Linked DNA regions of Neodiprion lecontei. The protein of the gene in region 3 interacts with the protein of the main gene of each other region in a biochemical or structural test. Links are inferred from orthologs where the notes say so. Each region holds a gene or a part of one and is shown on either strand. Other genes may lie near its edges.

Region 1 (7,773 bases), on a different chromosome or scaffold from region 3:
TTCAATTGATGGACTCCATAGTTGATGTCAATCCAAAATAAAATCAGGTCAACTTTATTCCTCATTAATAGATAATCCCAAACAATTTGGCTCGACAAATACTCTACCAATTCTCCTTGGAATGTATGAAAGTATAAATCCGTACATATGATTATCTTCAAATCTTCTGGCATCTGGATAATCTCTTCAATTGACTTATTGGTTATAGGATCATCTTCCACGCTAGAATTAGAAAAAACTAACTTTCCTAATGTAAATCATGGTATATTTGATAAAATAAGTTAACTCAAAGCTTTTGCATTTATGCAACAAGTAGAGTTAGTAAAAGGAGAATTTTTGAGCCAATTTTCTTTTAAATCACACGTACAAATATTTGGCCTTATAGTCATTCATGATGTTAAAAAGCTGCCACGCTTTTAATTCTGATGCCTGGAGCCCGTCTATTTTCCTCAAATGTTGTACCAAGTAATCGCGCAGTTTCTGATCTCTGCTATTGATGCAAATGACGTTGATATATTCCTTGGGATTTTTTCCCTGTAGTATTAAAGAATAAGAATGATAGTGAGAAAATGATCAGCTTGATCAAAGATAGATGAGAGAGAACTAAAGCTCACCGCATTTTTTAGTATGTGGGTGGCTCTGAAGACTTGCTGTTTGTCAAGCAGCTCCTTTACCCAAACGTCGACCTCGCGATAAAAATAAGCTTCTGCCTCTGTAAGTGGGCAGTTTCTCCTTGTCGCAAGACATTTTATGGCCAAATTAATGTGCGTCCCTTTTGCCGATGCTTCTCTGACTATCTCACGGTCCCCCAGTATACGCCAACCTGACCAAACACCTGCCAATTCACCCGTTAGACACTCGACCGGAATACCGCCCACAGTATCCATTGTTCAAACACCATTTGATTAACGACAATCACAGGGATCGTGAGATAACAGGATGAGCTGTCAAACGGGGCAAAGTACTGCACGTGACAATAGTACAATCTAACCTAACCTTTCCTCCTTTCCTTTACATGAAAAAATACTTGCATATTTATCTTTCGTTCTGGGTAATCGATAACGTATTATAGATCAGGATTAAAAGTTTTTCAGATTTACTGACAGTTATTCTACTCGTTGACCGATCGACAATTGACAACTGGTGGCAGCCATCTTGATACAAATCCAAGCCTGGTAACATTTTTCATTTTACACTGGAAACAGCGAGAAGCCTGAAGACCTAGGAGCGTATTACATTTTTTCACTTTTCACATTTCCCACCATCGAAGAATTCTGATTTGTTGACTAAGCTTTGCAAAGTAGTATGATACACACGGAAAGTTTCAGATTAATTAGTTTTGTTGATGTCATTTTTTTAATTTTCAAAGTTTCCTCCCATGTGAATTTAAATTTATAAATTAGGATCGAATAGGGATGAAAATAATTTCCACGCTAAACTACGAATTTCATTTTACGATGTTGACGAAAATTTTTACGATTTAGTACAGAAATTCGAACGCGTGCGTAGTTTTGGCGTAGAATTCTTTTGTAGATCATTGTATGTACTTTTTCATAGATTTTCGTAGATTTTTTTAATCTGCTCTAAATCGTTGTCGTTTATTTTTCGTAATTTTCGTTAATTTTCTAAACTTTTTGGTCTTGATATTCGTAGAAAATCACAGTATTCCGTAGATTATTGTACTTTTTTATAAAATATTGTAATCTTTCGCAGATTATCGTAAAATGGTACAATTTTCTTTTAGTTTTAGCACTTGATATTCGTAGTTAATCGTAATTTTTCGTATTATAGAAAATTATGGTATGGCTCGCATTTACGTGATCGTTATTCGTATAGTTCAAATGGATATAATGTAAAATATATATTGTGAAAATTCTGATATAGAGAAATAACAAATGTTAATCTTTTCATTATTCATTCATTTGTTGAACTGACAGGTGGATTTCACGAAATAACTAAAATTTATTTCTCTATAGCAAGAATTCTACGATATTCTACAACACATTATATATCTATTTCAAGCTTTCATATAAGAAAAACGATCGTGTAAATGCGAACCGTTCTATAATCATTTATAATAAACAGCTATAATATACGAAAAAGTATAATATTTCACTAACGAATACGATAATCTACAAAAAATTCTAAGCTCAAACTACGCAGGTGTCCGAATTTCTCTGATTAATCGTAAAATCGGATTCATAGATAAAAGTAGAAATTATGTCTACCGGAGTACAATTGGATCGAATTGAAATTGCATTACAATTCAAACAGAAAAAAACTAGAAAGCGACTAAATACGTAGGTATGTATAATAATAGTATTAGTATTTCATTCTTGTTATTACATGTTGTTACATGTTATTATATTATGTTTTTAAGTGTTCAACATTACATTTCACTCTTCCTAATTCTTGGTTCTTCACTTGAATATACCCTGTTTTATACTATTACGATTCAATTGTTAAATGCAATTAATCACAACAATACAAAGATTAATTCATATTAATATTCTTATTATGCAATCAGTTTTCTTGTAAAATTCGGATTAGTGGCTATCCAAAAAATCTGTCTCTTTTTTTCGTTTGCGTGAGATATGCTTGAAATCTACACCATATAATCCACATTCCTGAGGTAAATATTTCCGTTTACGTTGAAACGACGCTCATCAGTCGAATTTATCTTAGCCCAGGCGATCAAACAGCCAGCACGCACATCTGTCGTGATTTAAAGACATACATACCTATGTATGTATGTATGCAATCACGCATTCGTGAAATGTGAAATGTATACACGCGATCGTAAAAGTGACATTTGTGTACAAGATGGCGGTTTTCGGGTCGACGCTACGCGTGCGTAATGATTTCAGGGTCGTCGAGAGCGGCTGTCGGAGTATGATTTTTAGTACATCCGTATTAAACGCGGTCGAGTGTGTTCGGTGAAGGTTTAATCGATGTTAAATATCAATCGAACGTTATAGCGGTCGGCCCACGGTGGCCGAATGATTACCCTCGTAACCAAATATGCACGAGAGGCGATTGGAAATCGATCACAGCTGCGTAATCCGCGAAACGTCACCAGCTATCCCCGATCATCCACCTGCTTTTCGTCCAGTTAATACCATTCTAGTATGTGAACACCGGGTCTCTGAGCCGAGAACCGGGTTATGATAACAGAATAACGCGGGCTCAGACTCATTCTGAGCCGACCTAACGACCCCATCGCTATGTCTGTCAATGAGCCACCCTCGGCCGATGACAACTTCGTCGTCGCCCCTCTAATCAACAGCATTCCCATACCCACTCAACCGACCACCAGAGGTGGTCTCAGGGTTTATAAAATTGTTGTACTGGGAGATGGCGGCGTTGGGAAATCAGGTAAGACGTCGATCGAGACGAGAGGCTAAACTTGCGTGACCATTAATACTACTGGTTTTTCGTTTCAGCTGTTACTCTGCAGTTTGTTAGCCACAGTTTCCTCGACTATCACGATCCCACTATAGGTGAGCTATAAGTACCCAAGTCGTTGGCGTAGCAAGGATCGTTTCATGTTAATGTTTTCAGAGGATTCGTACCAGCAGCAAGCAGTCATTGACGGAGAAGCCGCTTTACTGGATATCCTGGACACAGCTGGGCAGGTGAGTCCTCCACCTACTTTGCTACGAAGTAGATTTTCATCTAATGACAAATGTCCATTACTCATTGCACCACCTTCTCTCCTCTTAGGTTGAATTCACCGCTATGAGAGATCAGTATATGAGGTGCGGCGAAGGTTTTATGATCTGCTACTCAGTTACAGACCGACACAGCTTCCAGGAGGCGATCGAGTATCGTAAACTAATCTCCCGTGTTAGAGCCCAGGAAGACATTCCTCTGGTACTAGTGGGCAATAAATTTGACTTGCAGCACCAGCGCAAAGTGAGATTTGTTCGCTTTTCAGTCAACAACTTTCTTCGGTGATACTGAAATAACGTTATTTAAATCAGAAAGTGAATTGTTGAGACAGATTCTTGCTCTACTTTTTAGGTGACTACTGAGGAGGGTAAAGCACTTGCTAGGCAGTTGGGATGTCCTTTCTATGAGACATCTGCAGCTCTTAGGCACTTTGTGGATGATGCTTTTCACTCGCTAGTTAGACAAATTCGTGCTAAAGAAAGGCCGCAAGGAGCGAGTCGAAAGCACAGTCGCTGGTGGCGTCTCAGGTCTATATTTGCTTTTGTATTCCGCAGAAGACATCGGCACGCTGATCACTATTCACCCTAGTAATAGCATCTCTCAGTCGAAATTCGTGGCACTTTCTTCTCTGAGATGATGATAAGGGGAACAATAATTATTTGAGAATTGACTATAAACGACTCTTCCGAAGTTGTTTGATGACCATATTCAGGTCTTTCGTGAAGTATTTTTCAATAGGCAATGTCAATATACAAGACATAATTAATGTGTTTTTTCTCTTTGAGCAGAGAGACATATTCATGTGTAAAAGTAGTTTTCAACTCTAGTCATTTACAGAATATTACTATTCACTAGTCATTGGGTTGAAGATTTAAGTTTTTTTAAATTTTTTTCTAATTATTGTTTTTTAGATACAGAAACAAATACAATACACATACAGTATACTTGTATGCATACATATATTTATTAACTTCGTTTACACACATGTTTAATTACGTTAAATTCACAGTTTATTGTTATAGGTGTATGTATGTACAAATAACAGCAGAGTAAATATTATTAATCATTGAATTGGAGTATAACTCGTATTGAATACCTGTGCATGATTATCGTAATTTTAATTTCTCTAACACAGAAGAGCATGCTTAGTGGGTATATGTTTAATCTGCACAGTTTATTACTCGTAGGAGACACGAAAGATAAATAATTAAAAGCTTAATTTACCTATCAATATGAAGAAGCAATCAGACCCTTGAATCGTCGCCTGACAATAATCAAATTGAATAAATTAAGCATTACGGTAGAGATGAGTCTCTTATAGTTTTCGTATAAAAAATAGTAATAGATATGCTGTTATTGAGTGCTTGACTTATAAAGAGGAGCCACAAAATAAAGTTCAAGTTAAAAACATTAAATAATGTTGATATGCAGCTACGGTTTAAATATTATTTTTCTTACTGTTATTATTATTTATTATAAAAACACTGAAGATGTGATTTATATTTATACAAACAAATGATATATAATTATTATCGCGTACATAAAATGTATGTAAACACGTAAATTAGATAAGAATATGTTTACCATATTTGTTTACTGTATCGCTTAATTAAGTAATAAAAGAAAGGAAAACATGCACCTCTAGCTTCACTAGCAGAATATTATTTGTCAATAAAAGAATCATTCTCAATATAGTGTACCTCATGCAATTTATAAGTATACCCTATTTGAATACTGTATGTACCAACAATGATGTACGATATAAAAATTGAGCAGAAGAAAAATGAAGTATTTAAATAACCAAATTTTCCACGATTACAACTTGTAATATAACTCGTGGTTTTTGAGGAAAGAAAAATAAAATGTGTATAAAGATTTAAAGCTGACCATTCTGTCCGTCGAAATGTTAACTACAGTATGTATGAATATCGAAAGCAAAATAATGCGGAAAAAATTATTTATTTTTATATGTTAATTATTACAGTTCATTCTCTACGATATATCTGTCAAAGTATTTCAGGGTGTTTTGCATTTCTTCGTATCCCGCCAATCGACACGCATCTTGGAGACAAAGCCATCGGAATTCCTGATGCTCGGACGATAGTCTGGCGTCCTTATTTCTGTTTATCAGCTCGGCAAGCCAATAAATAACTGTTTTTGGTTTATCATTAACGTTGTAAACAAGCTCTTGTCTAGCGTTGTCAAATATTTTCAAATCCTCGCGCGACAAACCAGCCTCTTCTTCGGTCTCACGCAAGGCGGTTTGTAAATCTGTTTCACCAGGATCCACGTGACCTGCGATTGTCAATTGTCATGAATAAAAATTAACAGATTAGGAACAAACGCTTATTCCAAATCTTTTCATGAATATAATATCAAACAACCTTTCGGGGGAGTCCAGTGATGAATTCCGTACGATGTCTGCATCAATAAATACTCAACTTGTCCGAAAAACCTACGAAATATCACGAAACCGCAGGCTCGTGGCGGCGCCATCCCCGTGTTTCACTCACTGATATATAACTACACTATATATCAGTGGTTCCACTGTTTCTGAAAATTAGATTGCTTATACATGCACGTATGCATGCAAGCTTCACCGACTAAAAGAGGATTTTCCGTTCAGACCAGGTTTAAAGCTGCTTCCTGCTGGTCTATATCGCGTTTGTCAGTTTTCACTGGTGAAAAGAGAATGAGAATCACGCCACGGCGCTCATTAAAATAAAGTTCAAGTTACATTGATTATGGTTATGACCGACTGCAGCAGCGTCACGACTACACTGATCTCTATTATACAATAGGGATCAATGTGCGTACAGCGTGCGAATCATGCGAGACTACGGAACGGGAGGATACTACAGAGATTATTGGTAGGACTTAAATCTAAATCATCAGCGCGTTAATGAGACGTAGAAAATTGATTATCGGTTGTCAGGCGGATCGTCAAGCTGAGGTTTGAACTCGATCCGGAGACACCCGAGCAATATTTTCTGCAGTTTTGCATATCGAACATCTTCCATATAGGTTATAACGGGTTTGATTGTAATTACTATTATTGTTATTACACGATCCAGGATAATTCTGGGGATTGGAGTAGAGAATTGAATTTAATAAAAAAAAAAAAAACTTCTGAGTGATTCCTCACGGTACTTAAATCTGTTGATGTAAGAAATCACAATCATCGCAGCTAAATGATTGTACAAACATTATTCAACGAATGAGGAATACCAATAATTTATTCAATCAATTTGAATAGAACAATACGTTACATGCATCTTATGTTAACGTAAGCAGGAAATTTATTTTGCACTATTCAATAAATATAAATACCTAATACATCTTCGTGTGCATACAGTGTAAACAAGTATGTGAAGAATAGTTTTCAGATGTTTTGTTCTACAGGGTCATTTATCACAGTTTCACTAGTGTAATAAAAGTGCAAAAAAATTCTAAACCTTGTATTAATATTCTCCGCACTATTGTAGAGGTATACCTGAATTATTTAAGAAGTTCTGTCCACACTGTGCACGAATATTAAAATGAGACAGTTGAATTTTCAGGCATGGACTCTTATAAAAGACGCAACGAATATTGCGTTCTGAATTGAGAATAATTAGTTAAAAATAAGAAACTTAAACAAAGAGCTGTTGAAACTACTGAGAATATATGTAGGAATTTGCATAAGAAATTTGAATCTCTTCGTCAGCATCGTTTATGATTAATTAACACAAACACAAGCAAATGCGCAAGTGTGCTGGTTTCGCAGGGCGAAGTGTGGCTGGTGGAGAAGGCCGACTGCTCCTGGGACCGGTCGCCTGTTTCCCGCAGCGTCGGAGCTAATGAAGTATTCTTAAATACTGGCCATCACTACAACTGACAACAAACAACTGACGCAACCGATCTTACTTGAAGCCCACATAAGCGGTTGTCTCGATCAAGGGTCACAGATGGTCAGTATTCAATAGATGACCCTATACAAATCATCATCTATAAAACTCATAAATGCTGTGAAACATTGCTCGATACTAGCTATCCAGAGACCTAAAGTTGTTATATTAATCTATTAGAAACTATAGTGCAAGTATAAGCAGTGGATAACAT
Region 2 (7,102 bases), on a different chromosome or scaffold from region 3:
AGGTCTGAACCCCATTAGTTATTTAATGACTGGATTTAGGCATAGAACGAAATTGTCGAAGAGAAGCGAGCGACCAAAGTTCTACACGAATTAATTTTTCCCGGAATCCGCTCCAGCTTCGACAATTTTCAACGGATTTCGACGAAATTTTTAAGACAACGTTCGATTCGATCTATGCTTTGCAACTAATGTTTTTACCGCGACTGCTTCCAGCCGCGTAAAAAGAAAACGAGTGCCACGTAATTGCACTTGAAAAGACTCGGTAAAAGACATTAAAACTATAATCCTGAATTATTGCACTCGTTACAACAGTCCTTAAAACTCCTCCGTGTCCCAAACTGCAACGCGTGAAGTGGAAACCAGGTCCAGAATTCGATCTTTACTCCTACACATGTGACCGTCTATTTGACGTATTTCCCCGAGGTCACGACCAGCGGCAATTCCGTCTCTTCTCACTTTCTAACACGTTTAACATACGACGTAATCGCAGCGTGTCATGAGTCATCGGAGTGATAATAAAATCCGTTCACGTGTATATACAAGACGTAGACGAGTGAATGGTCGAGAAACAGACCGCTCCACGATCAGCTGTTCGATTCGTAGCGCGCGTGGGTTTAACTGTAAAAAAAAGTGCGGGCGCTCCGTGACCGAGCGGACAATCGCGACAGGATATTTTTTATTATATATAACTGTAGAAATGACGAGGGCAGACATTACTGTCGCAATAAACCGAGGATGATTACGAGATAAGTTCTCCTCCTCCTTCTCTACTCCGCGGGTCGACGAAGTGCTCGAGGTGTGACCATAAACCGCGTCCACCAAAGTCAGCACTCTTGCCGTCGTTGCACACGGCGTGGTTTCCTCCTCCGGTACCTTCTTTTCGGTCCCACGTTTTTTCGCCATGGTCAACGAACCCTTTCCGACTACCAGACGCGGCGATCTCGATCCGTCGAATCCGTTGCCCTCGCGGACTCGTGATTCTTGACCTTTTCACGTTCACGTTCACGTTCACGGAAGTTCTTTCGAATGTAATTCACGCCACTCGCACTGCCCGGGTCAACTCAACGTCGAAAGCACCTCCGGCTGGCTGTTGACACCACGAAAAACGCACTCGCGGTCAGCCATCCGTGTCTCCCAAGTTCCTGTGGCCCCCTGTCTGACCATTCGCTTTTAACCCATTGTACTATTCACTACCGTAGGACAATACGTACGTAGGCATTATCCGCATTTCCTGCCACAGGAAATCGACGTTCCGGTAGGAAATATCCGCCCGTCACTCCGATATTGAACAGCCCACGCCTTTCGCCGACGTATCGATCTTCGGATCTAAGGGAGCTTTCGTGAATAGAACTCAACCTTTCCGAAGAATCGAGTCTTGTGAGTCCCTCTTAGCTTATCGATGATTACGACTTGTACAGAAATTACCAAATGAAACTATCGCCACTTCTTGACTGCAACGTGATAGTATATGTATATATATGTATACGCGGTATTGCGAAGCTCGAGTTCTTGAGGCGATTTCAGCCGGCCTGAGCGGCGTACATGTGCATTCTAGATGCTCCGTTATAATCATAATTGAGCTAATCTCCCTAACGGCCGGTCGCAAGCAGCAACGTAGTGGATATTTACTGTTGGACTCTTTTCGAACCGGTTTTATACCCGCCTTGGTCGCATCTATCGGTCTCCGTCGAAACGTTTCGTTTTGACAGATAGTAACCCGTTTGAAACTGCAGACGAGAATAACGCTCCCTGTTTCTGGTATTCGAAGGAATATTCCAGACACGCAGTCATTCGGAGCTTCTTATCAAAACATTATCCGACGCCAAGATACCGCAGCGTTCGCCGTTTACATCATCGACCACCAGATACGTATATTTCTGGCATTTTGAATATCCGCATGACTGAAATACGTATAGAACATCCGTTTTTGACTGAAGATTTTTCGTGTTTATACGTGTACGTGGAAACCCTCGATATTTGAACTGTTAAATCACATTTTACCAAGTTCCATTTCTGCAGTTTAGCAGTTTCACTTTTTTTTTATTAAATTGCCATTGGTGCGGTACGTTACGTAACGTCAACAAATGTCAGCGCGATATTTTCTGACCTGAATTCGATAATGTCAAGCGTTCTATTCGTAACTTTGTATTCGAGATGTTGAGAAATTTATAACTCGTTGGAGATTCACTTTGTCCGTGAATTCTAGTGATTCGATAATTTGCGAGTACCTGGTTAAAAAACATTTGTTGCAAATTCCATCTGACCTGCAGGTAAAACTGAAAAATTTTTCCTTCTAAGAAAAGAAGACAGATTCGTACATAAAATTAATATCGCGCTGAATACTAAAACGTTATCGCCGACTGACTTTACGAATTTATTGGCAAAGCGAAATATCCATGTTCCGCAGCAGTCAACGACCGCTAATACGAGTCTAGGCAATAATTTGACGCAATAGCTTGGCAAGCATTCGATGAAACGGTGAAATAATTCCAGCGAATAATGTCAGCCGTGGTTTATTTACTGCCTAGGTCTTTAAATCGAGTTACGTGAATATGAATTGATCAGGGAAAAGTTAAGATATTCCGTTATTAAAATCTATCGCAGTAATCTCACTGCAGGACACTTCGTTTGCTGTTTATTGGGACTGAAATATCAGCGTGAGATTCGTTTATAAATAAATATCTGTTTTTAAGTAATCATATATTATACCTATTGAAGGTCGGTGTTATCGAAATTACTGTCGAATCACATTGAGTACTTGTCAAAAATGAAAGATAATATTGAAACAGCGTCGTCGAAACCTCTGCGGTTTCTAATCTCATCGTGCCTTCTATATTACTTCATCCCTATTATAAATAAAACAGCGCGATATCACAGCCAGTAAAGATCAAGCCTCAAAATACCCGCGGAATTGTTTTTTGACCTGAAAAATTTGCCATTTCGTGTTTTTCTCACTTTAGCGATTCGTCATTACCGATGGATTGGACAATGAGACTCGCGATCGTGTTTTCTTTGTTGCGAAAAATTGAACGATCATTCTGCAAGCATTACGGGCTCTTTGGGACCGCCGACCGGTTGCTGAGCAGCCACTTTGATAATGCGATAATAAGATAAGCGGCTCGCGTTATCCGAATATCGCTTCAATTGTTCTCACTCTGCGGTAGCAAGGCGACGCCCGTCGACTAGTTTGAAGTGCTTTTCAGTTTGCTGCAGGTCGTGATTGTGTCAAATACTCGAGTGTTCCAAGTTTCCTGTTTCGGAGCTAAAACGCGGAGGTTGAAAAAAATGCCTCCGAAAAATTCGGCCGTCAAGTAAGCTAACAATTTTTTCCCCCGTAATAACACTATCCCTAATTTGACTGTAAATTACCAATTTCTCGAAGTCTCGATTTTGCAGACTGTAATTAACACCTGAGAATAATTTCTCGTCTTATTGTTTCTAACGGCTTAACCGTTAAGTAAGAAAAGTCCAAGTAGTACGCTTAATGGTGACAGCGAATTGAATATTGATAAAAAAAAAAAGTTTAGAACAAAGTTTACGCCAATCAGAAAAGACCAGCTACTGTAACGATGATAAATTAGGAAAGCGTAAAGAGCGAGGATTGGCATTAAGAAACAAAGTGAAAACACGGTGTAATATTATGTTGACAAACCGATGGGTCACGCGACCGTAAAATACAATTATCCGATCCGTTCGCCGGCAACGAGTGAAAGTAATTACGCACAATTATCAAAAGAATTGCGAGGAATAAAAAATAAAAAACAAGGCAAAATTTTAAATATTAAAATCAGGGTCTGACGGTCCTCTGACGTGTGCCGTTATATCGACGTTGAAGCAGCACTAGTGCTAAACTTTTACTCGGTCGATAGTACTTATAGCGCTCCGTCTTCATGCACGTATGCTTGTTTGCGAGTGTAAGCTGGAAAAGAAGGACAGCAACCCAGATATATAAGGAAATTACTTTATCGTGTGTCGGAGCATATTTGTCATAGGTTTTCCGCCACGTTGTAACGTTGGGATATTTTGCGAAAAGAATCTTGTGACTTGCATTATAATCGATGTATCGATTGCTGCCAATTAACGGTATTAAGCATTCTTTGATAGACTGATAATTGTGATACCGTCGATAATTAATTGCTGGTTGTGAGTTCGATAGCGACATTAGTGAGAGAGTTATCCTGAAGAGGTTCGTAAGCAAACAAGGAGAAAACGGGATCGAGAAACGGCGAGATAAGGGTGCTTTTAGAATCAGGTTTCAAGGCCTATAAGCTCAATACCCAGTAAAGTAAGCATCTTGATTAGGCTTCGATCTCATCGCGTTATATTGCGATAGATATAATAGATCGAAGTAAAGTTATTTTCGAACTCAGCCTGAAGCAGAGAAGCTCGCTGATTAGGAAAGACGAAGGTATAAAACCGCGTCGTCGAAGGCACATAGGTACATACACAATGAAATCCAGGTCAATCCCGATAATGGAATACCCAGATCTAACGGATGGCCATTGAATTTCACCGGCTATATTTAGACGGAGATTATAACACAACACTCGCGCACGTAAATGTCGAGAATCACATGACTCGCTTTTATACCGCCTTTCTTATCATTCATCAGCGATGACAGATACCCTCGTGTCCTTGCCACGCGAGGAATCTGTTCTAGAAAAGCGTAGAAGGTCTCTTGTAAAAGGATTCGTCTATCTTTAGCTCGGGAGGGATGGAGAACCAGCAGGTATGGGTCAGGGACCCACAGGAGGGTTTCATCATCGGCAAATTTGTCGACATGGTCGATGGTGACGCTCTGATAAAGCCTCTGGACGCCAAGCTTCCCCAACGGACATGTCCTTTGGACGAGGTTTACCCGGCTGGCGAGTACACAGCGGACGTGGAGGACAACTGTAAGTGTCAATTCAAGTACATTGACGATGCACGTTTAGGAAAATCGTTACTTCGCAGCCTTGGGATTGTCTGAAATTCAGTTATTAAATCATGAGAAAGAAAACATGTTCATATTTTGAAAAGCCAACTCTATGAAAGTGGTTCCAAAATTGTACAACGATTGATTCCATCATGTTTCGTCACGTTAACGTTACTGACTTCGACGTGGTTTAATATGACCGTTGTTTAGGTGCTCTGATGTATCTGAACGAGGCAACACTGTTGAACAATATCCGCACGAGATACTTCAAGGACAAGATATACGTGAGTTTTAAATATTGTTTAACAATCAGTTTTCTGTAATAGTTCGGTACAGTTTTTTGAAACCGTCGAATATTCACTCTGTTTCAGTCCTACGTCGCCAATATTCTCATCGCCGTTAATCCCTACTACGAAATGAAAGATCTTTACTCCACAAAGACATTGAGATCTTACCAGGGAAAATCCCTGGGTGAAACTCCACCCCACGTTTTTGCAATCGGTAAGATTTATCGTCGACTATTTTCCCGAAGGGTTTTCACAGGTACCCTGCTCTGTTTGCAGCTGACAAAGCCTTTCGGGACATGAAAGTCCTGAAACAATCTCAGAGCATCATAGTGTCCGGTGAATCTGGAGCGGGAAAAACTGAATCCACCAAATACTTGCTCCGCTATTTGTGTGACCTTTGGGGTTCCACCGCGGGACCTATTGAACAGAAAATTCTTGACGGTGAGTGGCGAGCTACGTACCGTGAAAACAGTCATTTCTACCCTTATTCGATCAGAGTTACAACCCAATCCTGTTCATCCTCTTCATGAACAGCAAACCCGGTGTTGGAGGCGTTTGGAAACGCGAAGACTAAGCGGAACAACAATAGTTCTCGTTTCGGTAAATTCATGGAGGTTCACTTCGACGCCAAGTGTCAGGTCGTGGGTGGTTACATATCTCACTATCTACTAGAGAAGTCACGAGTCTGTCTGCAGAGTTCGGACGAGAGAAACTACCACGTCTTTTACATGATGTGCGCCGGAGCGCCGGCTGACCTCAGAGCGAAACTCGGCATCACTAAGCCTGACGATTTTCAATATCTGAAGAATGGTTGCGGCCAGTACTTCTGCAGCTCCGCTTCGGAGAAGAAATTGAACAACGCTCAGAAGAGCAAGGACCAGATCAGTAAGGGCAGTCTCAGGGATCCGATACTCGACGACGTTGAGGGATTCACCGCAATGGACCAGGTATACATTTTTTCTTAGATTTTATCAACAGCGCCATCGATCTCACATTTGGCAAGAGCTTGCAAGAGCTTGCAAGTCTCCTAGCACCGATTTACTGGTTCCCTTTTCATCGGCACTTTGAGAATCATACATCACCACTAACATGTTCTTGTTGTTTTAAAACGCTGGATATGGATTTTGTCTCGTCAAATAGGAGAGAGCAACGGTAACGAACGACTTCCGTCACTCCGTAGGTCTTAGACGACTAGCGAGTTTAGTGGATGGAAATTTTTTCTAGAAAAAGTAGGAATCCTGGAGGCGCTCAACATTTCCAATCGGTGCTGAGTCTTTTACTCTGTCTTTTATTGTTTCCCTGAAACCAGGCTTTGACGCGACTGGGTTTGACGGACGTTGAACGGATGGAAATCTACACGATGGTGGCGGCCGTTCTTCACCTCGGCAATATCACATTCGAGGACAATCCGGAGGATACGAAAGGCGGTTCGAGGATTACAGCAGACTCTGAAAAGTCCGTAGTAACCACAGCCACTCTACTCGGCGTCGACGCTGACGAATTGAGGCAGGCTCTGGTCTCAAAAGTGATGCAAACCAGCCGCGGCGGCATCAAGGGAACGGTTATCATGTGAGCATTGATGATTCTGCTTCTTTAATGTGTCTAGGTGGTTTATCAATAACCTTGCGGACTTTTCCAAGGGTGCCACTGAAGGTCTACGAGGCATGCAGCGGGCGCGACGCGCTTGCTAAAGCGATTTACAGCAAACTATTCGACCACATTGTCTCGCGCATAAACAAGAGCATTCCATTCAAGGCTTCCAGCTACTACATTGGTGTACTCGACATTGCCGGGTTTGGTGAGTTCTCTTATTCGACGCTTCGTAGCCCTACGATGCAGCAATGGGTCGTTTTCATTGTTGAGAACAATGTATTTTGCAAATTTTCAGAGTACTTCCGAG
Region 3 (10,064 bases):
TAAGATCTTATAGGTAAAATTTTGAAAGTTTGTCTGAGTTTTTTCTGATATCAATAAATCGATTCATAGTCTGCTTTTGAACGATTGACTGCAATCTGTCGTAGATTGATAATTTGGACCACAGTTGTGGATTCACAGTTGGCACTTAGATATATAGGCCTCATGTGCACTTCTTAATGTGTTTTTACTTAATTAATTCATTTCTTGCCACTTTCAGGTACCAAAATGCGTGATCAATTAATCAGTTTTCTAACTATAGCTATTCGTGATTGCTCATGGATACATTTTTTTTTAACCTGACATATTTTTTGTGAAACCCATAGTCTATGTTATTCCCAAGAATGTAAGGAAGACGTGGGTTCAAATTCTCTCTGAGAACACAGCGGGTCCATCTGTTTCTAGTTTTTCACATAGAATGCCTTTTTTACAGTACATAATTCTGCTATAAATGCATCTAAACAATGGTTTGAATATACTAACAGTGGATGTTAATAAGTTTTTCTCACACGTACATTTTAAAGTATATCAATCTGCAATAATGGCATCAATGCTTCTTATTTGTAATAAAACCTGGACGCCATTCTAAATACTGTACAAATTATACTATACAGTGATACGCCTGGCGTCTGGATATACATTTTCATGACTCAGCAAGCCATGTCATAATTGATCAATGCGTGATGGAGATTGATTGAAACACAATACGGTTATTCGTCTATTATTTTAGATCTTTCTTCGTAAAGGATTATCAAGATAAAAAAAAAAAAAGTGGTAGCTACAGTTTTCAAAGGATGCAAGGAATTCCAAAAGGAAATGACAATTTTGTGACCTAAAAATGAGGATACATTTATTTTGTCTTTTATAATCAATGCAACCTAGGTCACCAAATACATTATTAAATAAAGACTGTGGAGGAATTTTAATTTAATATATAATATATATTACATGTATTATGACTGATCCGATGGTCTTATATCGGCGTTGGTTAAGTAACATTAAGACGTGTGATGGCTCCAGCCAACCAGTCTGTTTTGCACCATTAACCGTGCAATAGTCAAACTAGTGCCAGAAAGTGCACCGATCGATAGTTCGAAAAGTGGTGCTGATGTTGTGCAGTGCAGTCCTCATTTTGAGGAGAAGTGTGTCGTGTTCGTTTGTTTGTCTACAAACATGTCAAATGTTGGTCATGTCAGGTTTAATCGAGTGAGGGCGTTATTCATACAGTCCGGGATGAGAAGGAATGTTAACAGGGTCAGTCAGACACGATCCCTGTGTGTCCCCACTTCCTTTTACTTTACGTGGTGATCATTATGGTATTAAAAATTAAATAAATATAAATATATATATTTATTTATGTACATATGTATGCATATACACATATGCATATATAAATAATATATCTTTATATTTGTTTTTGTTTGTTTTGTTGTTTTTTTTTTTTTTTGAAAAAATCAAGCATTAATTAATATTTCGTTTGTTGGTTATCTTTTCTTGTTTTTGTTATGTTACGTTACGTTTTCTCACATATTAATGTATAAATTAAAAGTATAAACCAATACTATTTTAAATTACTATTAACCTATTGATGGGTTGATACATTCCTCTGTCACATTGAGCCGAGTATCATGCCACGAAGTATTATTTAACACGGACATTTTTTGTAATTTTTTTTTTTTACATATCAGAATGTGATTCCGTTATAGGAGTTATAATTTATAATACTACGATACATAAATTCCAGATAATGTTCAAATAATGTTCCTTTTTTCTTCTCTCTTTTTAACTTTTTTCCCATTAAACACGGACATGTAGAATTAAAACAAGATACGAAGGGTAGTTTCAGAGTTATTATTAATTCAAACACAATACTTGAATATATTTCTTAAAAAATTACACAAACTTTGAACAAAATTTGATGATTATCGCAAATGTTCTATAGTACTTTACTTATTACTTGTAAATTACATCAAACTTTATTCAAAGGTCTACTCCAACTTTTCATGATACTGTTAAATATTTCCAATTCACGATGTATTAAGACTGGAAAGCAGAAATGCAGTTTCAATATTTATACTTTAAGATTTTGTTGCCGACGATGAAGATGGTTGGTATTAATTATCTTTATTACTTATTATTATAGTATTATGTTAAGTGTTGATGATAGCTTTATATTCTGGTATTCACTTCATTATCAACACCACTCCTAGTTGTGAATTATTCCCAAACATGCGTTTGCATTCACTTTGATGTCATCATTGTGACGAATTCTGTAAAACATAAAAAAACAAAGAACAGAAATAAATACGTATATTTAATTACAAACTTTCGCATTATTTCACGCAAGTTAATTGAGTCATTAAACAATCAAAATGTAGATAAACTACAGGAAGTTGTCTATCTAAATTCTAGTGCAATATTAACACTCATAAATAATTATATTTGATCGTGCTTGAATGTTTGTAGAAGATATTTGACGAACATGTCAAGCAATTCCACGTGTAGTATTACACTTTCATTCACGAAATAATTGTGGACACAGCATATCAAAGGTTAGATAAATATTAGCAAAGCTACTCTTATAACGCATGTGGGTTCTGTGGTAGAAAAGAAGAACACTGAATGAATTACATTTGTCTCTGCCAGAACGGTCTTTTCAAATGTCTTATATCCAGACAAGTGGATCATTAAACATTAATGTCTGAACCATTTCAAAATTTGGACGAAAAGATAGATTATCTCATGTATTTTCTAAGTTCGGTAATTTTCACGACATAAACCTGAGGTGAAACCAAAAACAAGCGGAAAGAAAATAGTTTGAAGACTATTTACCTTCGTAATTGACTTGCCCGTCACCGTCGATGTCAGCTTCTCTTATCATCTCATCAACTTCTTCATCTGTTAACTTTTCACCAAGATTTGTCATCACATGTCTCAACTCGGCGGCTGAGATAAAACCGTTACCATCCTTATCGAATACCCTAAACGCCTCTCTGATCTCTTCCTCGCTGTCAGTGTCCTTCATCTTACGTGCCATCATCGTTAAGAATTCGGGGAAATCGATGGTTCCATTTCCTGAAATGATTTTCAAAGATGTAAAAAATAAAATAAGAATGAAGAATCTGGATTTTTATTGGACATGATATACACGGGGAATTATAAATGGAAATGAACAAAAAATCAATTCAATTAGCACTGAATAATACACACCATCAGCATCTACTTCATTGATCATGTCTTGCAATTCTGCTTCCGTTGGGTTTTGACCAAGTGATCGCATTACTGTACCCAATTCCTTGGTTGTTATCGTGCCATCGCCATCCTTGTCGAAGAGGGAAAACGCCTCTTTGAATTCTGCAATTTGCTCCTCTGTGAGTTGGTCAGCCTGTGTATAAAAGTTTTAATGTTTTTACATTCAATACATAGAGCCATGTCATAACATTTCTTTAAATTAAAGGGTGATTTAAGGGAATATATGATGCGGGAATACCTGACCATTTTAATGTGACCGTGACCTTTATCATTTCCAATTTCATTTTCCTGTTACTATGTTGTAGCTCGTATCATGGTCTTTGTAATAAAAAAAAAACCGTGTGCCCTTAATTGGTAACGGGCCTGTATTTAGTTTGGGAGATAAGAACAAATTCGAATAAAATAGAAAAAGGACTATAGTAGATCACAACAGGATTTGAACACAAACTGCAAAATTTCCATGTTGGAGATTTTTCTTCTGGCGACTTTTTTTTGCCCTTCCAACTTTTTGTTTGAAAGGGAACAAAATGAATCTGCTCATATCACCAAAATTAAATACATGCCCATCTTTCTTCAACACAGGCTGCAAAGTTAAGTCTCTCATGAAGAATTCACGGTGTAAATTTCAATAATATGAATTCCAAACTCACAATACTTTGGCCTTCAATTTTGCAAAATGTAAATCTATCACATCATTATTAGGTGAATGCAGAACTTGCAATAAAGAAAGAACCAATGGGAACGAATAGATCTCGATATTCCATAGAAAAAATGTCATTACTGAAATCATTTGTGAAACATCAAATGATTCTATGTTTGTTTGAAAAAAATGTCTGTTACAACTATTTAGATTTCCTAGTTCAAGTAGCATCTGCTCTGGTTCCGAGTCAGAGAGTTGATTATTCCAAAGTCCGGACATTAGTATCATTATGCTTCAAAAACTTAATCAGAGTCGTGATAAAATTGATTTATCAAAGAATTCTTTCAGTAAATGTCATTCGTTACAGATATTCGCTTTTGCAATGAGTTGCCATTAGAATCGTGATCTGATGCATGGAAATTGAGTCTTGGGATGTTTTGTCCTTACCACTAATCATTGCAATAAAATTTTATAGATATGAAATAACATTTATATGACCTCATAAATACAGGGCAATAATTGTGCTTTAAATACGGTACAAGTGTAAGTAAGAACTTATCAATATAATGCTGAAAAAAAAAAAAAAATAAAAACCGGGCATATGTTTATTACTACCTCAGTTGGACTCAGGTCTAAGAATATCACAATGTGCAAGAAGAAAATTAGAAGAATTCTGCATAAAATTTAATCCTACAATTTCTGAGTAAATGAAATGTATCTTCTGAGTCACTGTACACCACTAATGACGTTGCAGGCTATAAGTTTATAATAAATTCATGTGGGAGTTTTGATGCAGTTGTACATAAAAATCAAGAATTATACGTATTATACGTATGGACGAGAGTTCTCTACATTTATGTGAACTGTTTTAATATGCAAAATACTTCTTGACCACATCCGATATAAACTCAGTGACCAATAAATGACCATAACAATAACTTACAATTAGTTTCATTCATGCATATTGCAGTTTGCTAGATCAGCAGCATTAAAAATCGCTAAAATGAAAATGTCTAAGATAAATATCTTTGATCGCAGACACGTTTCAATAGTATTCCTGGTAATCACTGGTAGTATTACAACAGTCACGCCTCAAAGATAAAATAAATATGTCAGACTGTTATTTATTGATTAATCGCATTAGGCTCAACTGATTGAAGGATAGATTTTATAAATTATCAGATAAACCAAATAGTAGTCCCAAAAATTGCCAAGTGTCAGTGATAATGATTTAAACCAGATTTTGATAAGCAAATTTTTACACTATCCAGCAGCATGCAATAACCTGGTTAAATAAAATACTGCTACCAGTGAACAATTTTGTTTTTTGTTTTTTTTTTTCGACCTTTCACATTCAGCAATAAACACGCTTTCTATAGCAGTTGGTACAGCCTGTGCCAGAACCTAAGCAATCAATTAGATCATCGCTTTAGACGTATTTTATAATTCATTTTAATTAATAAGTATAAGTTAATATTAAAGTAAAGAAAGTTATTTTCACCACCAAGCAAGTAAAGCCCGAAAATTTATCTTCTTAATCTGATTTTAAGAAACATATGCGTCTATGTTATTTTCTTGTTAACGATTTTTAGTCTTATCTGTACTTTGCCCAATGTATTTTAAATGAAACTATCACATCAAGTGAAGGCAAAAAAAAAAAAAAATCAATAAACGCGTCGGAGAAAATCGGACAAAATCTTTGTACGAATACACATGTATAAATTATATTTATAGACGTACCATATCGCGATCTTGTTAAAACCTTTCGGCTTAGGGTATTCGGTGATAACGAAATGAAAAAAATAACCTCACTACTCTTCACAAATCGAAGGTTCGAACGGTTCTGCCGTTTGCGGCAAAACGCTGCAGGTGAACCGAACAACGTCGCACAGTGGCAGGTTCGCGAATTCTCGGGGTGGCGCCGGCCAACGGGTCGAGGGTTGGGAGGGGAGGGGTTAGAGGGGGTGGGGGAGGGGCAGGAAGGAGAAGAGGTGGCAGCCAGGGACCAGGAAGCAGCGAGAAGGGGGTTGGGGGGAGGGAGGAGAGGGACAGAAGCACGGCGGGACCGGAGGGAGAAAGAGAGACAGAAGAGGACATGACAGAGCTGTACTGAGCAACTACGAAAATCAATAGCGGGTGTATAAGGCCGCCATAAAGGCTGCCATACTATTTACCGGCCTTTATATGGAGCATCGTGCGCAAGCTTGTATTCATTTATTTGTTTATTTAATCGTTTACTCCGATGATCGTAGAATCCAGTGAACATGGAAATATGAATGATGTTCTATTTACAGGTATATTATGCACGAGTGAGCACGAATAGGTGGAAATTTTGTGACTAACATAATTTCCGCTTACACGTGGGTAACGTATGTGTATAAATATAGGCTTCTCGATAAATGATACGAAATGAGAAAACGGAATTCGAAGAAATTTAGGACGGTAGAGATCAGATTAATGAAACAGTGTTCCCGGTGGTAGATTGTTAGAACCATGATACAAGTATCTCACCGTAGAATTGCGTCGATCGTCTAGAGCGGTAATAATTGTTATGATGTAATATATTGATGGTTATACGACTGAAAATTATCGTTTGGGCATCGGAATACGTGCATGTTGTAAAGCAACGTAACAGAACGTCGAGCAGGTAAATGAAAAATGGAGAAAAAGAATAGCGGGATTTAAAATTGGCATGATTCTTGCGAGGTAGGCGGAATTTTTTCCGGCATTCACAATTGCCGATGACGAGAGCACCTCGAGTCGCGACCCGGTAAGAACTGTCAACTGGTGAACCTTTAACGGTACAACGCCTTCATCAACACCAGAGTCCGGTGACAAATTGATTCTTTACAGTGTCTAGTAGATTGATCAGATCTACCGATATTTTGATAGACCACAAGTTACGTCGGATTCATTTCAATTAGAATGAGATTAATTATTAACGATAATTCTGTAGCTATATATTTATGTGTATATACATATGTGTATATATAAAATCGAGGCAAGCCTAGCGTACGATATAACGGAATAAAACGCAGTACATAATTCGGCTAGAATGTCGAATAGAGACAGATCTCGAGCAGCGAGCAATCGGCCGGATTCCATTACTATGTTGCGGGTAAAATCTGTGAAAGTTGTCGAAATTTCGATATTCCAATGATTGCGAATAGGTAAATGATATTGAATACGATTAATCGACAACTCACCATTGCAGATTCTCCTAGATATTACCGGCACACTACACAAACTCCACTACGAACCAGCGCCGCTGACACGAAATACACTTCGGACAATAATGGAAGAGAGGGTCTCTCAGTCGTCCAGGCAATACTGTGTTACTACGCCACGATAGCGATGTCGCACATAACTGTGAATAAAACTTGCGCGGTGTTTGAAAAAGTTTTTATAAATTAAATGAAAAAACTATAAAACACAGGAATAATAATTTATCATACATTTATTCACCGATGAACCATATATATCGAGGTCTGAGTTCGGATTAAGTTTCAGCCGCGCATGTGAGTAGGCTTTATAAGCGCTGGGTGCGGTCTTGTTTACAAGACTTCCTTGTCGACTCGTCTAACGTCCAAACTAAGCTCAATTCTGATTGGCTGCTACGCACCTGCAATGCGTCAACCACTAGAGCCTGTACAGTTTGCGAACGGGTCAGAGTGGTGCTGGCAGGGCTAGCTGGCTCTGGGGTTGCAGCGTGCGCTGCCGGGCTGCCTGCGTCCCTACATTTTCATCCCTCCTATCCTCCTGCGTCCTTCGTTCCTTCATTCCTCTCGGCCCTTTTCATCCTTCTGTTATATTTACGTACCCCGCCGGCATCTCGCCACCACCAACGCTGCCGCATATTATGCATTCAAATGTATACGATGTATAATTATTGTAAAATCCTCGCAGCTGAGAATTTTTAAACAATTTCTAAGTTGAATTTCATTCTTATTAGCCTGCAAGCCGTCTCGACAATAGAAAGTAAAGTTTTTCAAATGAGAATTAAAATTTTTCTTCATTATTTTGCATTCCATATTATCGCTTTATTTTTACCTGTTACAGTATGCGAATTTTTAGGTGCGAAAATATTTAGGTTGAAAGCGAGGAAATTTTGTTGCATAAAACGACGTAAATTCCTAATATGCAATATAATGGTTTGGGGTGAAATTTTCTTTGCGTCTATCGAGACGCGTTCAAACCGCATACCCAGTGCGCATTGGCTATGCGCAGGCGGGCGCGCAATGCGACACAGGACATAATCTCGTTAGAGATTCCTGAGAAGTGAGTTAAATCTTAAAACGATTATATTTATCAATGGTCTAGCGCACGAACATGCAGGCTTGACGATATTTATTATTGACTCTGAAAGCATTCTATAATTTAAACTATTATCTTGTCGTATGAAACGAAATAATCGCGAAATAGACGAGAAATCATATAACTGTAAAGAGCACATCGTCTGTAGTTGAGACCTTTTTATCTGTGCACTCGCAGTTTGGATATCTAGAATCGGAACGAATATATTATGTATGTAACTGAAAAAATTATTTGGTGCAAAATAAACATTGATATATCATTATTTTGAAACGTATCTAGGCTTGGAAAATACGTCAAAAATGCCAATGCATGATAATGTCTATTTTAATTATGAACACATTTTTCCTTGATCAATGTGCAGTACAAAACTAGAACTCACACGTTATATGCTTATACGCTCATATAATTCAGTATACATTTCCGATTACACGTGATAAAGTAATAATGATCCAGCATAATGACTGTGCTCAGAAGAAAACACGTCTGAGTGTATAAAAATTAGCGAACACCCACCCATTAGCCGTTTCATCTCATGTCTAATTTTCGTTATGAAAAGTCTATAATAATTATATACACGTGATAACGTTGACGTGTTGACTACCCACATGCACACGGTGATTATCTGCCGTGAATCATATGGGTATATACGTGTTTCTTTTCTGAAAGCCTGTTATGTAATTTTGAGTCACACTGTAGTCACACCGTTAAATGGAAGAGGTAACAAGGCGGGGACTACCTGCTGATAGAGATAAGCATGGGAGAAATTCGTTAGGGCGGATGACTAGTGTGGATTTTTATCAGATAACAGATAATCAGCGGAGATGCTGTCATTGCTATAATTGTGTAGTATTTCAAACACGATTATACACCGGTTGAAATATTGGGTTTTTAAGAAAAAGTGTAGGAATAATAGACGCCTGTTACTCATTTTATCTGTTTATAGTATAAAACATATAGCATGACGTAAAGCTTTCGTGTGTAAAATCCGTCAGCGTACCTAAAAGTAATCAATGTTTAGAGCCTAAACGGGGCATCGTGAATAACGACATAATCATAAATATCAATAATTTCATTCCACGCGATTTTCGATTCAGTTACACGTATATACCAGCTACCTGGCCTGATTATTGTAACTGTGTCATCGCAGGTATCAGCTGACGTCGCCCATCAACGCAGCGCGCACTGTACAGAGAACACGTACCTGTGATGTGTCTCTGAAATATTCGCGCGTTTATACACTTCGTGTAGAAAAACCTGTGAAAATCTACCTGGGATCGCATCGGATAATATTATCCAGCCTTATAAATTATTTACCTTATTCCTGTAAAGTAAGCCGCGTGCTTGTGCTCGGGTATGTATAACACGTACACGCCGCTACCAAAGCCGAAGGTAAAGATCAATGCTGGCCGACACATACATGGTAAAAATAAAAAAAGTAAATTCAGCGATAATGCTTGTTCCTAGGGGATAAGTGAACCAGATCTTCAACTGAATATTAACAACAACTGCAGGTCGGGACTATAAATATATGCTTCCGATCTGTACGTCCTTGAAAAAGTCAGGCTCGCTGCAGGTGATCATAAATACTGCCAGTTCGTTGAAAAGTTCGCGGAATAATTAATAATAATTGGTAGCCGGCTGTTGGGGTAGTTAATCAGTTAAATAAGGGTATGCGGCAACTCTTGACAGATAATGATTACCGGCACACAACGGTGCGAATATAAATTCCTACTCTTATTGCAAGCTCAAGCTTTGGAGGGATACGCGAAGGGCGTGCTACACAAATAAATGCTCGTTATTATACTGCGACTCCAAGGTCATCTGAACCGGCAACGTTACCGCAATTAATCTGCTTGATTAA
Region 4 (7,087 bases), on a different chromosome or scaffold from region 3:
ACAATTTTCTAACGTCACGTATATGGATAAATTAGTCGCATTGTCGATTATCCTCGAACAATACTCAAAGGTGCTGATGTTACATTGTGTGTTGGGATTCGAGCTTCGGTTCAGCCGATCATTTTCTCCCTCTGAAAATAGTGCATCACAGCCCAGAGGCAGAAACACGTATTCTGCTGTCAGTATCAGTTGCGGATTTATCGACGAAAATAATTGGCTTACGGGGAAATGTTGAGTGGAATGAGACACCCAGTGTGTATATATTATACGTCCGTGTGTACCGCGTATTTCTTTATTCTTAGCGGGGGTCTGCCCGATGTCGGAGTTACCGAAGAAAATTACACACGCTCCAGTAGCAGGAGGAACAGCTCCGGGAATACTTGAACGACGTGACCCTCGCGTCGCGCGTCGGCAGAATTGTCCCTCAAAGCATTATAAGCATCGCGCAGGAAGAAGCACCGCGGCTCTCAAAGCGAGTGTTAATTATTTCCGATTTCACCCCGATATTACGCAGACACTTAATAACTAATTAGTCACTAGTCGGTCGCCTGGGACGCCATCGACAAGAGTCGAAACGACAAATCCCCCCCGAGCTCTCGTCATTTTTCATCCCGAATCAGATCCCGTCGAGACAGCGCCGATGCCATACGGTTATGAGCCCTTGTGAGGCCTCGTAAGTCACTCCCTAGATCCGTTTAGTAGCTAGTTCTCGTTACGCAAGGCAAACTAGAGTCAGAGAAGTACGAGGGAAAATGAACAACAGAGAAAGGGAAACACAAGGTACAGGGAATTTCGATTTGCAAAGTCGACATGCGCAACACCCTGCAAGCTCACCCACTTGCTTACTTACAATTAGATATTGACCGAAAATCTGTTCACCGGTTCGTGCGACTCGTCTCAGCATTTATCGCGCTTCTCGTTAAACATGCCCCCAGCATTCACGTAATTCCCTAATTGGATCCCGTTAAAATTTCAAACATCACCGTTCTCCCTTCGCTCATGCGCGATCGACCTTACGTGCGTTTTGCTCTCCGTTTCGTTGATTACACATTTCTAATCAAGGCGATTTTATATTTCGAATAAACAGCCGAGAGCGTTATACGTTATAACCGTAAAAATTCACAATTCGGCAATTATTCAGCTCGACTTTTCGATGCATGAATTAATCGAGCAACGTTTTCGACGCGAAAGATCAAAATATAGAAATGTACAGAAAAATCGTGCAGTCATATTTGTAATATTATTGAAAAATATTATTTCTTTGTGACCTGCAATTCGAAATTCGGATTTGAGACACCGAGATTAATCGTTCGGATAAATAAAGTCACCGAATAGGTAACTGGTGAAAATCTATGTTAGAAATGACTCACAGACGCGGTGTTGAAAAATCATTCGCGCACCGACATTTGTTCTTTTTCGAAGAAACGTGTCTTTGCCTCGCGCGCAGATATGCGGAGCGATGAAGTTTGAATTTTCTGCTATCCTGCGCGGGGTTCAGAGAAGGAGGACGAGGAGGAGGAGCTGCTGTGGTCTCGGTGACGAGGGAGCGACGAGGGGGGTTGTTGGCGGTGACGGGTCTGTCGCTTGGTTCGATTACATCTTGCAAAAAGTCGCATTACACGCGACACGGGTTGCGAATAAATCGACGGATTATGCCAATAAGTCGCGAACCCGGGGAATAAATGAATTGGCTGATGATTCGCCTTCGAACTGTTTTACCGAGTTCGCGGTTACATCCGAGGAATTTAACGCCTCAATGAATTTTTCACCTCGAAACCTGTCCTCGTACCTCTTCACCGGAATCGCGTCCGATCCCTCATCTATATTCATTCTGAATCCTGATCTTTTTTAGTTTCGTGCGATTATGCAGAGGTACCCACATCGACACTTTAAGGATGATCCTTACTTGTTATCTCATAACCGATGCGGAAATCAATCTGTTATCGAAAAACTTCTGTGAAGCTTCAAAATTATTTCAAAAAATTAAAATACAGAGTACGATTCTCATTCTGTAATCGTTTTTTTCAGCTGAAAATTAACAACAGACGGAGAATACTTTTCCTTGAACTGGACATTTTTTCAACACGCCAAAGTTTTAGCTCAGCGATATTTGACGAGACGGATGAAGTAAAAATTATTGAAAAACCGACCAAGGTAGAGAAAAATGTATAACGTATATACTTATATATCGACGAGTAAACAATTAGTTGGCGTAAAAATAGTTTATACCCGGTGATAATTATTTCCTATAAAATATTTTCTACCCGTCCGAGAGTGGTCCGATGAAAAACAACTAATTTGATTATGTTTTCATTGCGATGCAGGGAGTGCACGCGGCCGTTTACCGCGGTATGCATTATACAGTATATAGTTTAATCAGTCCCGGGAATCTCCGGACGACTTGGACGATCGTTCTGTGAAGTTCGCACGTCTTAGTTTTTTGAGTTTCTCGGTACACCGCAACGCAGACACCGTTCCTCCCGGTCTCTTTCTTCCCTCCCCGCGTCCTCTTTCAGCCTTTTCTTCACTCCTGCTGGCCACAGATCGATACAGGGAACCATCGATACGTCAAACTTGGTCGGCTATGGGTGAGCAAAACAAGCAGGAACACGTGTTCTGGCACCTCGCGACGCGCGTCGAGGAACGCGATATCTCGTACCTTATACCTCTCTAGGGAGACACGAACAGAGAGAGAAATACGCCGCAAAGAGACGCAAAGAAAGACAAAGAGAGAGAGAAGAAGAGTGACGGCGCCGTTAATTATTGTACTAACAACCGAGATCACGGGGACGATATAGTTTAAAAAGAAGTTTTTTTTCCACATATTTGCGAAGAAAAACGTGTTCATTGGACAGGATTAGTCTATAACCTTTGGGCGGGGGTCAAAGTCCCGAAAGACCAAAAATTCGACTGGTCAACAAGCCGAAATTTTCGAGATAAGAATTTTAAAACAACGAATTATCAGCGTACCGAAGTTGGGATTTTCGATAAATCACCCAGTAGCATAACTGTTTTCCCAAAAGTTCATTTAACCGAACGCTCTCTTATCCAAAAAAGTATTTTCCGAACAGTCGGTATTCCGAATGAACAAAGCACAGAATGTTGAGATACAGACAAATAAAAGTTCCCAAATTAACATTTGAGAGCGGCTGATACTTTGAACAGACGCAGAACCGAAAATATTACTTGTCGGCAATCAAAGTTCAGAAGGAGCAAAATTACGATCCGCAAAATGTAGAAGGGCCAGAAAGTCGAAGGGCCGTAACAAGGTTGTTATAGTTGTGCAGACTTATGCTAGATGGCACTAGACAATGTTCATCGGATACGTGCGGCGTTGCAAAGAATAATTATATGTGTTTCTGATTCATCCAACTTTTCGACATTTTGGCCATTCTGTCTTTAGCGGGTTTCGGGATTCCGATCTTTCGAGTCTGGTCAGTCATTATTGATAAATTCAAATTCGCAGAATTTTGACAAAGGCACGGGTCTGACATTTGAAAAGTCGTCTTCTTGACTCTGGTATTTTCGCAATTTAATATTTTGCTCTTCGTAGTGGCCATTCTCAAAAAAATCGATATTAATTTATTTATACATGATTGCATTCTCAATTCTTATTTTTCTACAAGTCATCGTCTCGTATTTATGGTCTTTCTACGTTTTCAACTGTCGGTAGTTTGACTTTCGAGATTTCGTCCCGTCGACTTTTTGGTCTTTCACAATTTTGTACCCCACCCTATCCTTTGTTCCGTTTCATGCCATGCACAGCATCGCACACGTTTTCAACATCATTCAGCTATCCCGCGGTGTTTAGTACAAAGTTTTTTTCTTTCACAATGATAAAAACGAAACGTATAATATCTGAAAAAGAAATGAAACGGAAATGCACAGACTCGGGTGGATTTCGCAACGGAGATGAAAAAATGGGAGAGAGACGGAGGTTGTACGGTATGTATAAGAAGAAGTGCCCTTAAATTTCCGAGGACGAAACTCACCTCTAATTAAGACGTCTGGCAGACTGGCAGGTTGCAGGCCCCGCGGCGTCCGCGGCGTCCACCCTCGCAATGCGGCCGCCCCGACGCCCGGCGTTCCCTACGCCGGCTTGGCTTCCATGATCCAATAAGGCGGACCTAATTAACTAACAGCTAACTCACAAGCCTGTTAGCTCATTGATTTCACTCTCTTTCTCCCAAGCTCCTTTCCCTTGAAACATTTAACCATTTTCGACTTTTGCATTCCCCCGCGCAGCTAGGCCGGCGGATTCCCTCGCAATTTCGCAGACCTTTCAACCGATCCTTTTAATTTTCCATTATCTGATAAATTTTCAATGCCATTAGCCAAATGTTTATCCAATCATTTTTCTGAACCTATTTCTTTATTGTTCGTCCCTGTTTTGGTCGCCGTCAATAACCGACGCCGTAATATACGAACGGTTTTTTGAGACACCGGTTATAGACTGTTAATTTCCTCACGATGAGTGAAACAGACCATCTTGCACGAGAAATCACACAATAATTGTTTCGATCTACTGCTTCATATTTTTACTGTTAAATTATAAATACTGTGCGGAGTGTTGAGTACCTACTGCAGAAACTGACTTCATTTCGTTTACAATCACTTGAAAATTATAAAAAAAAATCAACGTGAATTCTGGACGTGAAGTAAGCATATATGCCGGAAATTTAACAATCTTTTGTCAATTCCTACTCCGCTACGGTCTTCTGGAAAACGCGAAAAATGAAAAAATTAATAAGCAGCGAAGCGTGTGAAAGCGGTGTATATTAGCCGACTTTGCCCGGCCATAGCCTAACCTACCCTGCACGGACGACCTCGTTTGCCGAGAGGGTAATCGGCTTAAAAGCGATCTAACAGTAAGCAAAAATGTACAGTCGTACGTGCCTGTAAATGCGTACGAAGTCCTGGGTAATTACCTCGGTGTACCGAGTCTCCTTACTTAGAACCGTGCGCGACGAAGGCTGTCTTGACTCCCGGTAGAAAGGCCTGCCAGGGACTTCTTGCATCGGCAGTGGAAGAGCAGAGTCGGATTGATGTTCTAGCACGCAAACGCACCGACTCATATTCGACGTTTCGTCAGAAACAGGACTGAATTATAATCCCGATGTCCGGAGGTTGAGAAGTTTCCTGCATGGCCGACGCACGAAGTAAACGAGAAGACACTCGGGGCAAAAACAGGCCCAATTAATCTTGCAGCTAGTTATTTGATTCGCTTGCCGAAGGACTTCTCGCGTCCGTCGAGTCTGCATTGACGTGCCTGCCGTCTCGGTAATATTAGTCTCAATAAATTAACGTGTTTTACTGTAAACTCGCATCTCTCGCTATTCGCATTAACCTCCACGCTGCAGGTAAGGAGGCGACTCTTTTGCGACGAGCTAAGCCTCGTCAAAGGTACCGACAAGATACAGGGATGAGGCTCGAAGCTTTATACTCGCGGTTTTTTATCCACACTTCTTCCTCCTTCCCACTTTTCTGCGTCATCGTTTTATACCAAAGTTTCTTCTACCCTCTCCGTCTACGATATTCTCGTATTCCCTCCCACGAGGCATTCATCATCCTTTCAAATTTACATTTTCCTACCCGGGCCGAAAACCATCGGGCTTAGGCACGTTGTATTCCAACGTTCCAGCGTTCCCATTCGCCTACGTAACACTGGAATACCATCCGGTATTTATTTTCTCATACAAAATCAATAAGGGGTTGCGGTTTGACGAGGGCCATTGAGAGAGTGTACGTATACGTACCGTGCGTACGCGATTCCTACGTATCTCGGCGAGGCTGTGCGCAACTACAAGACGTATCACTGATCGTACGATAAACCGTGTACTGGTCACACTTCGATTATAAGCGGCGCGAATCAAAGGCATCGGAAATATAAAGCTCAGGTTAATGAATAAACATTATGGAAGACCATCTCGCATCTTGCATCTCGCATCTCGGATCTCGGATCCATCGTATCTCGTGAATCGGCGATCGATCGATCTTGCCCACGCTGTGTGTGCCTTCCTACCATAGGTATACCAACGTCGAGCTCGGTGAGGAGCAAGTTTTATCAACGATCGCTGGATGCAGGTTAAGACTCGAGAGATATATTAGTCTTTCTTAAATTTTCATAAAACAACATTTGGAATTTGTGCCGGTGAATACCTTCTATATCAATAAAAATTTCAATAATCATTCTGTGAAATATGTCGAGTGTCGCTGGTTCTACGTTTTATGGAATGCGAGAAAGTTTACTTTCGCTGTCGACTGAAACCTGCTAGTTTTGTGAAAGAAAACGATGGAGCTAAAAGACGTCGATACACTTCATAGAAATGTATTTACCCGAACATAAAGGGTGTTTATCGGTCCCGTTGCATTTCCGGTAGACCGAGCTTACGAAGTGCTTTTGAATCCAGGGAAGCGTAGTTAACATGGTGATTATGACTAGATCAGGACGGAATAAGTGCTTGAAAATAGTCGAAGAGGCTTACTGCCTGTCGCTTACAGAAACGAATGAGGATCCTGGAAAAGACTTGAATGGGTAAAAGCCGGGGATTCAGTCAGCCAGGGGTGTTTTGATTGAGGTTGCATTTGAGGAGATTAGAGAAAAGAGCTGAGGCCAGAAGTTCACTAGCAGTTTTATAAAGGAACTCTTTTTATTATTGTACGTTTCAGTATACAGTCGTGCCTTTCGCGTAGTATTTATTATGGCTAATAATACTGCAGAGTAGAAGAGGTGTTACAATTTATTTGATTTGACGTTGTATATAATGATATATAATATATGTACGAACATATACATATACGTGTATGTTTAAATATTAAATAAACTTATAATAAATAAATTAATTAAACTCTTATGAGCTAGAAATTGTTTATATTATTTAATACTATCTTACAGTTATCAATGTTATTATTATTATTATTGTTTTTGTTGTTGTTGTTGTTTTTGTTATTTTTATTATTATAAACGGCACAGTAATTATTGCCTAGGCTTCTCACCGGCAACTGTCAATTGCCTTTTTATTACATATTCATATATGCATATTCACCTACCTATAATTATAGCCACGTTTATTTTACATTTTTTTAA

What was found.
Region 1: the proteins of calmodulin (region 3) and GTP-binding protein Rit2 interact in a test that uses a peptide from one of them, tested with the Drosophila melanogaster proteins (2 studies listed by BioGRID, with this or other methods). The link is inferred for Neodiprion lecontei from reciprocal best matches to the Drosophila melanogaster genes Cam and Ric.
Region 2: the proteins of calmodulin (region 3) and myosin heavy chain 95F form a complex in vitro, tested with the Drosophila melanogaster proteins (2 studies listed by BioGRID). The link is inferred for Neodiprion lecontei from reciprocal best matches to the Drosophila melanogaster genes Cam and jar.
Region 4: the proteins of calmodulin (region 3) and neither inactivation nor afterpotential protein C interact in a test that uses a peptide from one of them, tested with the Drosophila melanogaster proteins (2 studies listed by BioGRID, with this or other methods). The link is inferred for Neodiprion lecontei from reciprocal best matches to the Drosophila melanogaster genes Cam and ninaC.

Annotation. Positions count from the first base shown.
Region 1 is NC_060262.1:22,203,407-22,211,179, forward strand, and holds GTP-binding protein Rit2, read left to right. Parts: upstream 1-2,805; 5' UTR 2,806-3,224; coding exon 3,225-3,375; intron 3,376-3,443; coding exon 3,444-3,500; intron 3,501-3,561; coding exon 3,562-3,635; intron 3,636-3,723; coding exon 3,724-3,915; intron 3,916-4,023; coding exon 4,024-4,260; 3' UTR 4,261-5,612; downstream 5,613-7,773. Other genes in the region: spatacsin, read right to left, coding at 1-222, 368-534, 615-887; bis(5'-nucleosyl)-tetraphosphatase [asymmetrical], read right to left, coding at 5,651-5,967, 6,057-6,168.
Region 2 is NC_060260.1:6,605,735-6,612,836, reverse strand, and holds the start of myosin heavy chain 95F, read left to right. Parts: upstream 1-3,159; 5' UTR 3,160-3,285; coding exon 3,286-3,311; intron 3,312-4,704; coding exon 4,705-4,895; intron 4,896-5,125; coding exon 5,126-5,199; intron 5,200-5,286; coding exon 5,287-5,416; intron 5,417-5,478; coding exon 5,479-5,643; intron 5,644-5,736; coding exon 5,737-6,149; intron 6,150-6,511; coding exon 6,512-6,771; intron 6,772-6,842; coding exon 6,843-7,000; intron 7,001-7,090; coding exon 7,091-7,102. UniProt on the Drosophila melanogaster protein: Myosin is a protein that binds to actin and has ATPase activity that is activated by actin. Together CLIP-190 and jar may coordinate the interaction between the actin and microtubule cytoskeleton.
Region 3 is NC_060263.1:23,725,145-23,735,208, forward strand, and holds calmodulin, read right to left. Parts: upstream 7,397-10,064; 5' UTR 7,099-7,396; coding exon 7,096-7,098; intron 3,383-7,095; coding exon 3,208-3,382; intron 3,073-3,207; coding exon 2,830-3,072; intron 2,268-2,829; coding exon 2,239-2,267; 3' UTR 1,598-2,238; downstream 1-1,597. UniProt on the Drosophila melanogaster protein: Calmodulin mediates the control of a large number of enzymes, ion channels and other proteins by Ca(2+). Among the enzymes to be stimulated by the calmodulin-Ca(2+) complex are a number of protein kinases and phosphatases.
Region 4 is NC_060261.1:32,100,002-32,107,088, forward strand, and holds the start of neither inactivation nor afterpotential protein C, read right to left. Parts: upstream 4,039-7,087; 5' UTR 3,993-4,038; intron 1-3,992. UniProt on the Drosophila melanogaster protein: Required for photoreceptor cell function. The ninaC proteins combines putative serine/threonine-protein kinase and myosin activities. Essential for the expression and stability of the rtp protein in the photoreceptors.